Linked DNA regions of Cricetulus griseus. The protein of the gene in region 1 interacts with the protein of each later gene in a pairwise test. Links are inferred from orthologs where the notes say so. Each region holds a gene or a part of one and is shown in the gene's direction. Other genes may lie near its edges.

What was found. The genes of interacting proteins can lie anywhere in the genome.
Region 2: the proteins of Osgin1 (region 1) and breast cancer anti-estrogen resistance protein 3 homolog interact in binary tests that used the Homo sapiens proteins (3 or more experiments, as listed by UniProt). The link is inferred for Cricetulus griseus from reciprocal best matches to the Homo sapiens genes OSGIN1 and BCAR3.
Region 3: the proteins of Osgin1 (region 1) and Capn3 interact in binary tests that used the Homo sapiens proteins (3 or more experiments, as listed by UniProt). The two-hybrid records come from large-scale screens. The link is inferred for Cricetulus griseus from reciprocal best matches to the Homo sapiens genes OSGIN1 and CAPN3.

The regions. Positions count from the first base shown.
Region 1 is NC_048596.1:196,070,492-196,074,653, forward strand, and holds the start of Osgin1 (oxidative stress-induced growth inhibitor 1), read left to right. Parts: upstream 1-1,360; 5' UTR 1,361-1,528; intron 1,529-4,162. UniProt on the Homo sapiens protein: Monooxygenase catalytic activity. Involved in regulation of cytokinesis; promotes RHOA activity, probably acting locally at the midbody in late cytokinesis.
Region 2 is NW_023276806.1:35,976,804-35,979,819, reverse strand, and holds the end of breast cancer anti-estrogen resistance protein 3 homolog, read left to right. Parts: intron 1-1,879; coding exon 1,880-2,058; 3' UTR 2,059-2,509; downstream 2,510-3,016. UniProt on the Homo sapiens protein: Acts as an adapter protein downstream of several growth factor receptors to promote cell proliferation, migration, and redistribution of actin fibers.
Region 3 is NC_048599.1:57,997,935-58,001,450, reverse strand, and holds part of Capn3 (calpain-3), read left to right. Parts: intron 1-1,462; coding exon 1,463-1,532; intron 1,533-2,714; coding exon 2,715-2,833; intron 2,834-3,516. UniProt on the Homo sapiens protein: Calcium-regulated non-lysosomal thiol-protease. Proteolytically cleaves CTBP1 at 'His-409'. Mediates, with UTP25, the proteasome-independent degradation of p53/TP53.

The DNA.
Region 1 (4,162 bases):
TGTGTGTGGTGTGAGGTAGGGATGTGTGTGTGTGTGTGAGTGTGTGTGTGTGTGTGTTTGTGTGTGTGTAGCAGTACTGGGGATTGAATCCAGGGCTTTGAGCATGCTAGGCAGTGTTCTGCCACTGAGCCATCTCCCAGCCTGAGCCCAGGTTTGAACATATGCATATGAATGCAAGCAGGGTTTTGTGGAAGGATTTTTTTTTTTTTTTTTTTTTTTAATGGTACTAGGGCTTGAACCTAGGGCCTCATGCAATGCTAGGCACTGGCTCTACTGAACTATTTCCCCAGGCCTATATGCAGCATTTTAAATAATAATTTTTTTAAGCCAGGAAAAACAAAATATTAAATTTTTAAATAAAAATGTGTGCTAGTAGCCAAGATTCTCCCAGCTGGAGGCTGCTCCACAAGGTGGGCCTAAGGACCCTGTCTTTCTTTACAGGGTCTTTGAAGGGTTCTTTATCTGGCGTTTGTATTCATCTTTTTTAAATTTTCTTCATTTTTTTTTTTTTAGAAAATTGCATCTAAGCGTCACTTTCTTGGTTAGTGTGTGGAGTCCCTCTTAGTGTTGGTTCTTAGAGCAAGAGCCTGACACCCACCCCCCAGTCCTTGCCCTGGTGGCAGAGAGGACCATGAGGGTGACAGCTGATAATGACAGGAACAGGTAATGGTCACCAAGGTTGACAGTGACCTAAACCCCTACCCAACTTCCTTCTGTTGGAGCAAATACTGAACACCTTTGTGGAGAGTGCTGTCCCAGACCTAGTAGGCAGCAAACAGTGCCACCCCAGGACCAAGCTTCCATTCAGCAAACTCAAGAACAGTTTAGCAGATGGTGTGACCCCTCCCCGCTCCTCTACAGGAAGGGAAGTCTATGAGGACCAGGGAGATACCACACAATCCTCTGGCCCACACACCCCAGCCCAGGAAGGAATCAAGCTCAACCCCGTTTTTCAGATAGGGAAACTGAGGTTTGTCCAGAGCCTCCAACCAAGAAGTTACAGAGTGGGGATTACCAGGGGTCAGGCTGGTGCCTGGTGGCTTTTTTTCTGCCCCCCTCCCCACAAGCTGGGGTGGAAGCCTGGTGGAACAGCTGCATAAGGTACTTCAGGGGCCAGCAGGCCAGTCATTTCAATTGCACATGGCAAAGTTGTTCCCATAGGGAAGAGACCAGGTGATCTCTCCCAAGGGTCACAGTTCCTCCTTCAGATCGAGCCTAAAAAGGGGGGCTGACCAGCAGGGGCCCTTTAAGGCTGGCCAGGGGCAAGTTCATTCACCCAGGGGCCCCTGCTGACTCATGCTTATGAAAGTGATTTTCCTGGCCCCGCCCCTGCCTCCGCCTCCTCCCAGCCCTGCAGTGAAATACCCCTGCTAGCCTTGGGCCTCTCACAGCCTCTGGGATCTCCAGGGCTAATGGACATCCTGTTCCTGCAGTCAGTCACCGTGACCAAGTCCCAAACCCTGACCAAGTTCCTCTGAGTGTCCTGCCAACCCAGGTTCACCAACTCCCTCCAGCTACTGCCCATCAGGTGAGTGGCCTGGGCAAGGCTGTGGGTGGGAAGTGATAGCTGTGGGGAAAGGGAAGCCAGACAGGGCAGCAGGGCAGTAAGTAACTTGGTCCTGAGCAGGACTCTGGGATTCCTCCCTGCTCCTCCCAGCCATGTCCATGTCCAGGTGCCTGGGCCACTCTCCCCAACAGCCTCATCCAGCCCATGGAGTAGCTGTTCTGGCAGGAAGAAGTGTGAATAGCCTTGATCCATGGCCACCATGTCTATAGTCCAGTGGGTGCTGTGCCCTGTGTGTCAGGCACAGATGGGCACAGCCCAGGGGTCTGGGCACTAAGCTTATGGAAGGTGCTTGGAGGTGGGGCATCAGGAATCCTTGGGCTCAGGTGGGGCAGGCACTTGAAATAAGTGTTCATTGTGACTAAGGCCGGGTAATACTTGGCTGACTGCGCACTTCCTCACGCCCCAGGACTTTGTGTCACTAGCAGCTGTCACTGTTACTTGTTGCTTTGTTTGGGAATGGAGGGGAAGGGGACCAAACTAGGCTGTCTGAGACCTAGACAAGATGCCTTCCTCTACCCTACCTCAGTTTCTTTCTCTGTGTAGTGGGGATAAGAAACCCCAGCTCTTGAGTATCTTAGAGGCAAATGGTACAAGGCCCCAGCCCTCCCCAGTGTGACAATTTCATAACCTCAGAAATATCTGTGGTGTTACACCAGGGCAGTTATTGACACTTATGAGAAATTCTGCTTTTCATTTTTATGTGCATGGTGCATGTGCTCATACCTGTGGAGGTCAGAGGTTGATGCCTAGCAACTTCCTCAATCGCTGTCCACTTTCTTTTTCTTTATTATTTATTTCTTTATCTTTGTTTATTCAAGACAGGGTTTCTCTGTGTAGCCCTGGCTGTCCTGGAACTCACTTTGTAGACCAGGCTGGCCATGGTTAGTACTTAGATGGGAGACACCTTATTTTTAATCTTTTTTTTTTTTTAATAGAGAAAGTGTGTTGGGGGGTCAGTCAGTCACCCTTAGGGGTCAGGAGTCAGTTTCTCCTCCCATCTTTATTGAGTCCTAGGGATCAAATCAGGTCACCACCCTTATGTAACAAGTTACCTGTTGGGCCATTTCCCTGGCTCTCCTGGACTGAACCTGGAGCCCATTGATTCAGCTAGCCAGCCAGTTGTCTCCAGGCCGCTTCCCTCCAGACCTGGGATTATAGACATTTGCTTTTTACAGGGGCACAAGGGATCCTAACTCAGGTCCTTGCACTGTGAGGCAGGCACTGTACCCACTGAGCCATCTCCCTGGCCACCCACACCAGCAATTCATCGTGTTAACTTTTATGTCACTATTGCCCTACCAGAGGGACATCAAAAAGGGGCTGTTCTAAACTTCAGGGTGGGGGACTCGCTCCTGTAATCTGAGCACTTGGGAGGTGCTGGCAGGAGGATCAAGAGTTGTAGGCCATCAGAGGCTTGGTGTAGTTTAAAGCCACCCTTGGCTGCAGGAGACCCTGTCTCAAACAAACCAGGAGGCTTATTCCAACTCTACAAAATACAGCCAGAGAGTGGAGCTGAAGTGCAGAGAAGTTGTTTTGCTTTATAAATGTGTAGCTAATGTTTGTGGGTGGTTGTGAGGGTGAGCAGCTTGGAGGATGTGACCTGGGGGGGACGGGGGGCCGGGGCCTGGTGGTGACCTCATGTGTATGGCATCCAGCAGCTCCAGGTGAAGCCTCTGCCAGCTGTGCTGGGAAAGGGGCCTGGTCTTGGAGTGCAAAGTCCTCCAAAGTATTAGCCCATCCTACTTCCTGTGAAGCAACTTGGGCATCCCCTTGGATCTGGCCTGTGTGGACAGGGCCTCCTGCTGGCACCAGTGAGGAGTTGTATGCTGGGGTATTACAATGAAGGAAAGGGTTGGCACCTCAGGTCTCCAGGGATACTTGGCATGCTCTTTTTAGGAGTGTTGGAATGTCTAGTAGGGTTCTGCCCACAGGGATCAATTTTCAGTTCTGTTAACTGCTTGTTCTGAAGCTTTGGGGGCATGACTTTTCCCCTGAAACCTCAGTCTCCTCATCTGAGAAGTGGGTTGCTGCTGTTCCTGGGGATAGCAGAGGCAGGAGGGAGAAAGCCCAGGCCCTTTGATGTTCCTCGGGTGCACTTGGGAGGGGATTGCCTTCCAGGAACTGCAGCCTGAATGCCCAAGGCTCTGACCATAGCTGCACGGTCAGTGAGAGACTGACCCTGCAGCAGGCCATTGGGTACAACCACACAGTGCATGATGAGTCTCTGGCCCCTACACTTGCAGGAGCACAGAAAAGGTTCTGGAATGAGATGGCCCGGTACAAGTCCAGTCCCCCTGACTAGATGTAGGATAGGCTCCTTGAAGCAAAGGTCTCCAGCCTCAGTCTCTATCTGTAAATTGGGAGTGATCGAAAGAGTACTTTTACCACTCAGATAAATATTATAAGCATGAACTGGTGTGTGTAGAGGGCTTGGACCTTGAGTAGCAACAGCTCTACGGAAGTCTGACAATGCCTGGTGTTGGCTGCTACAATTACTGCCATTGGTCATGCTACTTCAGTATCCTCTTAGGCCCTGTATGGGAAGGCCATATGGTTTCTAATAACAGCAGGGAGCCACCTGCGCCCTCCCAGGGA
Region 2 (3,016 bases), on another chromosome or scaffold:
GAAGAAAGGCCAACTGCACTGAAGATGGAGGGGCTGTAGCTCGGGAGGGGTTAAACTGAGTCACCTTGGTGACATGTGGAGGATGGGCTGCAGAGCTGAAGGAAGACAGCCTCTTTAGAAATCAAGTGCTTGACCAAGAACTTTAGCCAAGGCTTCTAATTTTTCAGACCCTTCAAGATACTGTGTGGGACAAAAATGGGCCTATCAATCTCATTTTAATAGAATATTGTTACCTCAGAGCTACATGTTAGTACTAGACTCTGCATTGTGGGTACCATATACTTGTTTCTTGACTTTCCTCACAGATTCCTCAGGGGCTAGGGAGATGGCTCAGTCAAAAGAGGACCTGACATCCATCTCCAAAATCCACATGAAAAAGCCAGACATGGTAGTTAGCGTATGTGGAGACCCAGGAGGATTCCCTAGGGCCCATTGGCAGCAAGCATAGCCTATTTGATGAGTTCAAGGCCAATGATACTGTCTCAGAAAAACAAGGTAGACGGCTCCTTACTTTCACACACATGTGCAGTCACACAAGGTCCTCAGGTTTGGCATGTGACTCATAATTAAAGTATACAATTCAATAGCTATTAAAGCACCTAGTATATATGACACTGGATGTTACATATTAAAGAAGCTAACCTATGTAGCAAATCACTTGGCTCTTATATTTTTCAACTTTATAGTATAAAAAGGTTCTGTAATAAAATATAAAAGAATCGCATGATGCCCCTGGCAGGAAGAAAAGTATAAAGCCTAACCAAAAACACTAATTAATCATGATTTTTAATTTTTGCTCTTCAAAACATTAAGTAAAAAAGCAAGCTATACAATTAAACCTGTATCTTAGGAGAAAAACTTACAGCTTAAAAACCTCATGAAACACAAGGAGTAGCAGGCGGTGGCAGAGCACACCTTTAACTCCAACTTGGGAGGCAGAGACAGGTGGGTCTATTTGAGTGTAAGTCCAGCAGTGAAACACTGCCTCAAAAAACCAAAATAAACAAGTAAAACAAAACCCACAAAAAAACCCCAAATGAGTAATTTAAATAGACGCCACCTCAGAGAAGATGCAGAACTGTTAGGGAAAAAATTGTTTAGGAATTGAAACTTTAGATGCAGTGAGATACCCAGAGTGGCTCTAATGAAGACTATTGATAAAAACCAGGCATGAAGACACTGAAATCTTCATATATTATGAGTGAATATAAAACTGACAAGGTTATGACTAGTTCTTTCAAAATAAGCACAGGTTTACCATATGACCCTATAGAAATAAACATCCATACTCGGGCTTGTACATGTACAGTACATCAGTTAGTGAATGGGTTAACAAAATCTGATATGTCCATATATTATAAACGCCTACTAATCAGCAATTAAATGGATGTGTTATTGCTAACATGCCACACACAGAACAATCTGAAAACCATGACACGAAGTGAAAGCGCCCTGACTGCACAACCTATCACATGTTTCCACTTCTATCAGACTTCTAAAGCAGCAAGGCTCATCAGCGGTTCTCTAGGACGGGGCAGGAACAGACTGGCTGTCTGGAGTACTAGGGAACTTTCTAAGCTGAATAAAGTATCTATAAATTTACTAGCATCAATCAAATCTTACAGCTTACATAGTTGAATCACATGGCAAGTAAAATTGTTAGGAACAAATCCAGACAAGATGCCAGCCAACACTCACCGGGGGACACAGGCTTGTGGATTCTTTAAAGCTGGCCAAATGATGTCATCCTACATTTTTCTATGGAAGCAGTTTTTAGAACTCAGAGAGGAGGAAGTTCATTTAATTCTACTGTAAAATAGGAAGGCTTTCATTCACTTTTTTGAGGCAGAACCGAACTTACCTGTTTTATTTTGATTAGATTTTCAACCGGATGAAGAAATGAGTGAAATCTTGAAGACTGAATTTCAGATGCGATTGCTGTGGGGCAGCAAGGGTGCTGAAGTCAACCAGACTGAGAGATACGAGAAGTTCAACCAGATTTTAACCGCCCTCTCACGGAAACTGGAACCTCCCTCGGTGAAGCAGGCCGAGCTCTGAGAACCACCCAGAAGACCTTGAGGCCTTACCTGAAACTTCTCCAGTCTGGCTCGGAATGCTTATTTATGGTCTGATAAATAATGTGCAAATCTAACAAGATACGAGCGTTTAATATCCACAGGGTGTTAAATGTGTAAATTGCACAGAGCATACTTATTTATGAATTTATGAATTGTTTAAAATTACTACTGATTTTTAAATAAATGGTAATTTATTATTAAGATAACTGTTGCTAATGTTGATCAGCAAATTTAAGAAGACATAGCTATGTTGCTGGTTGTTTAATATCATGGTATTTGACCATCTTAGTTTTAATTCCATGTCATATAAATGTAAATAGAGGCATTTAAAAGAAAAGCATGAAACATTGCAGAAGGTATCAGTTATATGATATTCTCTGAATATGAAACTGTAAATAGCCATGAGTGGAAATATATCTTTTTTTGTGAAATGATTGTGTCCTGTCTATTTAATATTGACTTACCTTAGCATGACAATTCTAACTCCTGGATTCTAAGGAACTTTCCTCCCTATCTCCATATTAAACCAAAATTAACAAAAGTGATTTGCAAATCTAAGGGTTTGCTGCAAAGACAGAATGAATAGTGAGCTAAAGGAAGACCTAGGTTCCAGCTCCAAGTGCTTGCTAACAACTGGACTGAGCTGAGCCATCAGCTGCCATGCTACTTCATGACACAAGTGGTCTATCACATCGGCTCCTCTGGAAAGCCTTCTGAGACACACTTGCCGCAATGCTTGTCTATTCATAGTTCTTCCGGGATCCCTTAATTCCTTTGTTGGTTACTTTTTGTTGCACCCAAATCAACTTGAAGAAGAAAGGGTTTGTTGTGGCTTTTATGGTTCTAGAGGGGCAGAGAACATCATGGTAGCATCTACACACAGGGAAGAGTAAGAACAGGAAGTAGGGTGAGGCTATAAATACAGCCCACCCCCAGTG
Region 3 (3,516 bases), on another chromosome or scaffold:
CACTGAGCAGGCATCTGCTGACCTGATGTAATTGCTGACCATAGGTCCATGTCATCTCTTATCTGCTGTTCTCAAGGTCCTCTGGCAGACCCAGGATGGCTGAAAGGAGATATCAATTGCGCATGCTCTAGGCCAGCTGTCAGGCCCATTGAGGCTTAGTTTTCCCACAACTTTCTTTTTTCTTTGAAAAGTCTTTATCAGTTACTAGTACTTCACAGCCTATTGACAATCCCTTAGAATTTAATTTTTTAAAGTTACATTTATTTATTTAATCTATTGTGTAAGTATCTGTGTGTGCAGGGGGAATACAAGCATTCATGGCACATGTGTGGAGGTCAGAGGACAAGTTGTGGGAGTCAGCTTTCTTATAGAACCCAGAACCAGCAGCTCAGGGGTGTCACCACCTACAATGGGCTGGGCCCTCTCCCATCAATCACTAATTAAGAAAATGTCCTACAGCCGGATCTTATGGAGGCATCTTCTCAATGGAGTTTCCCTCCTTTCAGATGACTCTAGTTTGTGTCATGTTGACATAAAACTAGCCAGCACAGAACACTTCACAGGAATAACAAGGTTTCTTGAAGCTGTAAAGAACAACCTTAAAATCAAAACACCAAATCTTTAATTAGCTTAAAAGTAAAAAAAAAATAAAATAAAATAAATTAATTAATCAATTAATTAAAGCAAAGCCAACACCGAATGAAATCAAGAGCACCCTCTGTTGACTGCTGATGTGCTGTGTGATACCTAGTTTTGGAAACTGCAGCTGCCACTGTTGCTGTTCTGGGCAGATTTGCCCCTTCCAACAACCTAGGAGGGGCAGGTGAGGCTCACACTAGATTTCCTATCTTCTTTGCAGACTGCCAAGACCTGCAGATGCTGGGATATATGCTGCCTCTAAATATTTATGTCCCACATCTTAGAAAGGAAGATCTTTTTTTTTTTTTTCCTACTAGCATCCTTTCCCCATGAGTTCTGTAGCCACTTTGCCCCGCCTCTCAAGGTACATACCAGTCTGTACTCAAGGGATATGCCATTCTGTGTCTAGTGTGGGAGAGAAGAGCAGATAGCCTTGGGGCGGCTTTCTTACCTTCCCTGATCTTCAGTTGTTTATTGTTCCTCTTAAGGTAGGGTCTCCTTATTTAGCCCATGCTGACCTTGAACTAGCCATCCCCCTGCGTCAGCCCCTCCAGTGCTGGGATTATAGATACGCACCAATACACCCAACTCTCAGCCTCAGCTCTCTGGTTTGAAAAAGAAGAGTGATGGTAGTCCACATTCTTGGCGTGAACCGCTGGCTGTGGAGGCGTAAGGGTCAGTGAGTGTAAAGCCCATGGTACCAGGGCAGTACGCCATCGGGTCAGCCTGGAAATCCAACAATTGCTGGATTGTTGTTTCCTTTTTGGAAACAGCCAGTCAGCTGGCTGTTTGTTTACCTGGTTGTTTCCTTTTTGTTCTGCAGGAAATTTGTGAGAATCCCCGATTTATCATTGGTGGAGCCAACAGGACTGACATCTGCCAAGGAGACCTAGGTAGGAAACTCCCTCCACCATGCCCGGCCAGACGACCCAGGGCTAGTTAGCAGGTGTGGTCTCTATTCAGGATGTGAAAAAACAAAATTCTGTTTCTTCTTTTAATGCATTTCAAAATCTTTTAAAATTATCTATTTAAGTGTGTGTGTGTGTGTACAACCACACACCATGGCACAAACCTAGAAGGTCAGAGAACAGCTTGTGGGGAAACAGTTGTTTCCTTTTTCTGTGTAGGATCTGGAGGTCAAACTCAGGTCATCACATTAGGCATCTCCACACTAAAGGAGTCTTTTGACAGAGGTGGCATTTGCCAAGAGGAAGAGAGGCCCAGGTTCTGTCAGCTTGGCTGTTACACAGCCCTTCCTCTCCTTTCACCTTTAGTTCTGGAAGCATCCTCCCTGGGGCAGACTGTGGGCAAGCTCTGTGGAGGGAAATTGGAGAAATCATTAAAAGGCAATATAAAACACAAAAAAGGCAAGGGCAGCTGAAAAGCATCATCTTAGTTTCTTCCAGAAAGAGAGGCTGCAGACACTGGGTGTTGGGGCACCTAAGGGACACTGCCTGGGGACAAACTAAGCTCTGAGCCCTTCAAACCGATACACTACTTCCAGAGGATAGGCTGGCTGATTCAAAGGAGGGAGATAGGTGGCTTGGGCAGTTGTCAGCCTCTCCTTACCAGCAGGGTGGTGGCTGGCCTGTGCCCTTAGTAGATAGATGCAGGACTGTCGGGGCACCGGGTATGCCTTTTGCCAGTCTCGGTGCCCTTTGTAGACTGGTCCTGGACAGTTAGCTGATGCACATCTGCTTAGTTGATGGTTCTCTGACACACAGTTGTCCTTGATGCCAAAAGGGAAAAGGTTAACCCAGCAAAAACGGAGGGCAGCCATGACCACCCACTGCTGTCTCCTTGAAGGAAGTGAGTCTCTTTATAAAAGGAGGAATTAGTTGACCTTAGGAAAACATCCAATCCTGAGAGAATGAGTTACCCTGTTCCTCTGGCTGTTGAGGAGTTCCTGTGGCTCTCCTTGCCTGGGTTCACACCTGGTGAGGGCAGACAGGAAGTAGGGAGGTGGGCAACATTAGCATCCAATTCTTCAGGATGGGGAATTCATGGCAGGAGCTGGGTCTTCTCTTCCCAGAGGGGCAGCCGCTACCTGACTAACAGTCTGTGTTTGCCTACAGGGGACTGCTGGTTTCTTGCAGCCATCGCCTGCCTGACGCTGAACGAGAGGCTGCTTTTCCGAGTTATACCCCATGATCAAAGTTTCACTGAAAACTATGCGGGGATCTTCCACTTCCAGGTGAGGAAATGGGGATGTGGGTGAGATGGAAGCCAGACCTTGGTTGATGCATTAAAGATAACCTCAGAGAAGGCACCAAAATGCTCCATGTTGCCTCAAGGAATGAAAACAAAGTAACCTTCTCTTGGGTTAGTTTAAGAGCCAGCCCACTTCTTGTGTGTTTCCAGTCTATGGTTACTGACCTGTCTGTAGTCTGTATGTTCTGTTTTCTTTTTGGTTTTGGTTTGGTTTTTTTGTTGTTGTTGTTGTTTTGTTTGTTTGGTTGGTTGGTTGGTTGTTGATTGGTTTTTCTAGACATGGTTTCTCTGTGTAGTTTTGGAGCCTGTCGTGGAACTGGCTCTGTAGACTAGGCTGGCCTCCAACACAGAGATCTGCCTGCCTCTGCCTCCCTAGTGCTGGGATTAAAAGTGTGTACCACCACCAGTCAGTGTATTCTGTCTATTGTATGTGTGTGATTTGTCTGTCCTTGTTGCCTATGTGTGGTATCTGATGTATGTATGTGCCGGCTGTCATACCTGTGGTCTGCTCTTATCTGTGCCTGTTCACCCCCCAACCCCCCAAACCCCATCCCCACCCCCACCCCCACCCCCAGGGTGTACTTTGGAACCTGTCATATAACTCAATCTGTAGATCAGCCTGGCCTCAAAATCACAGAGATTCGCCTGCCTCTGCCTTCCGAGTGC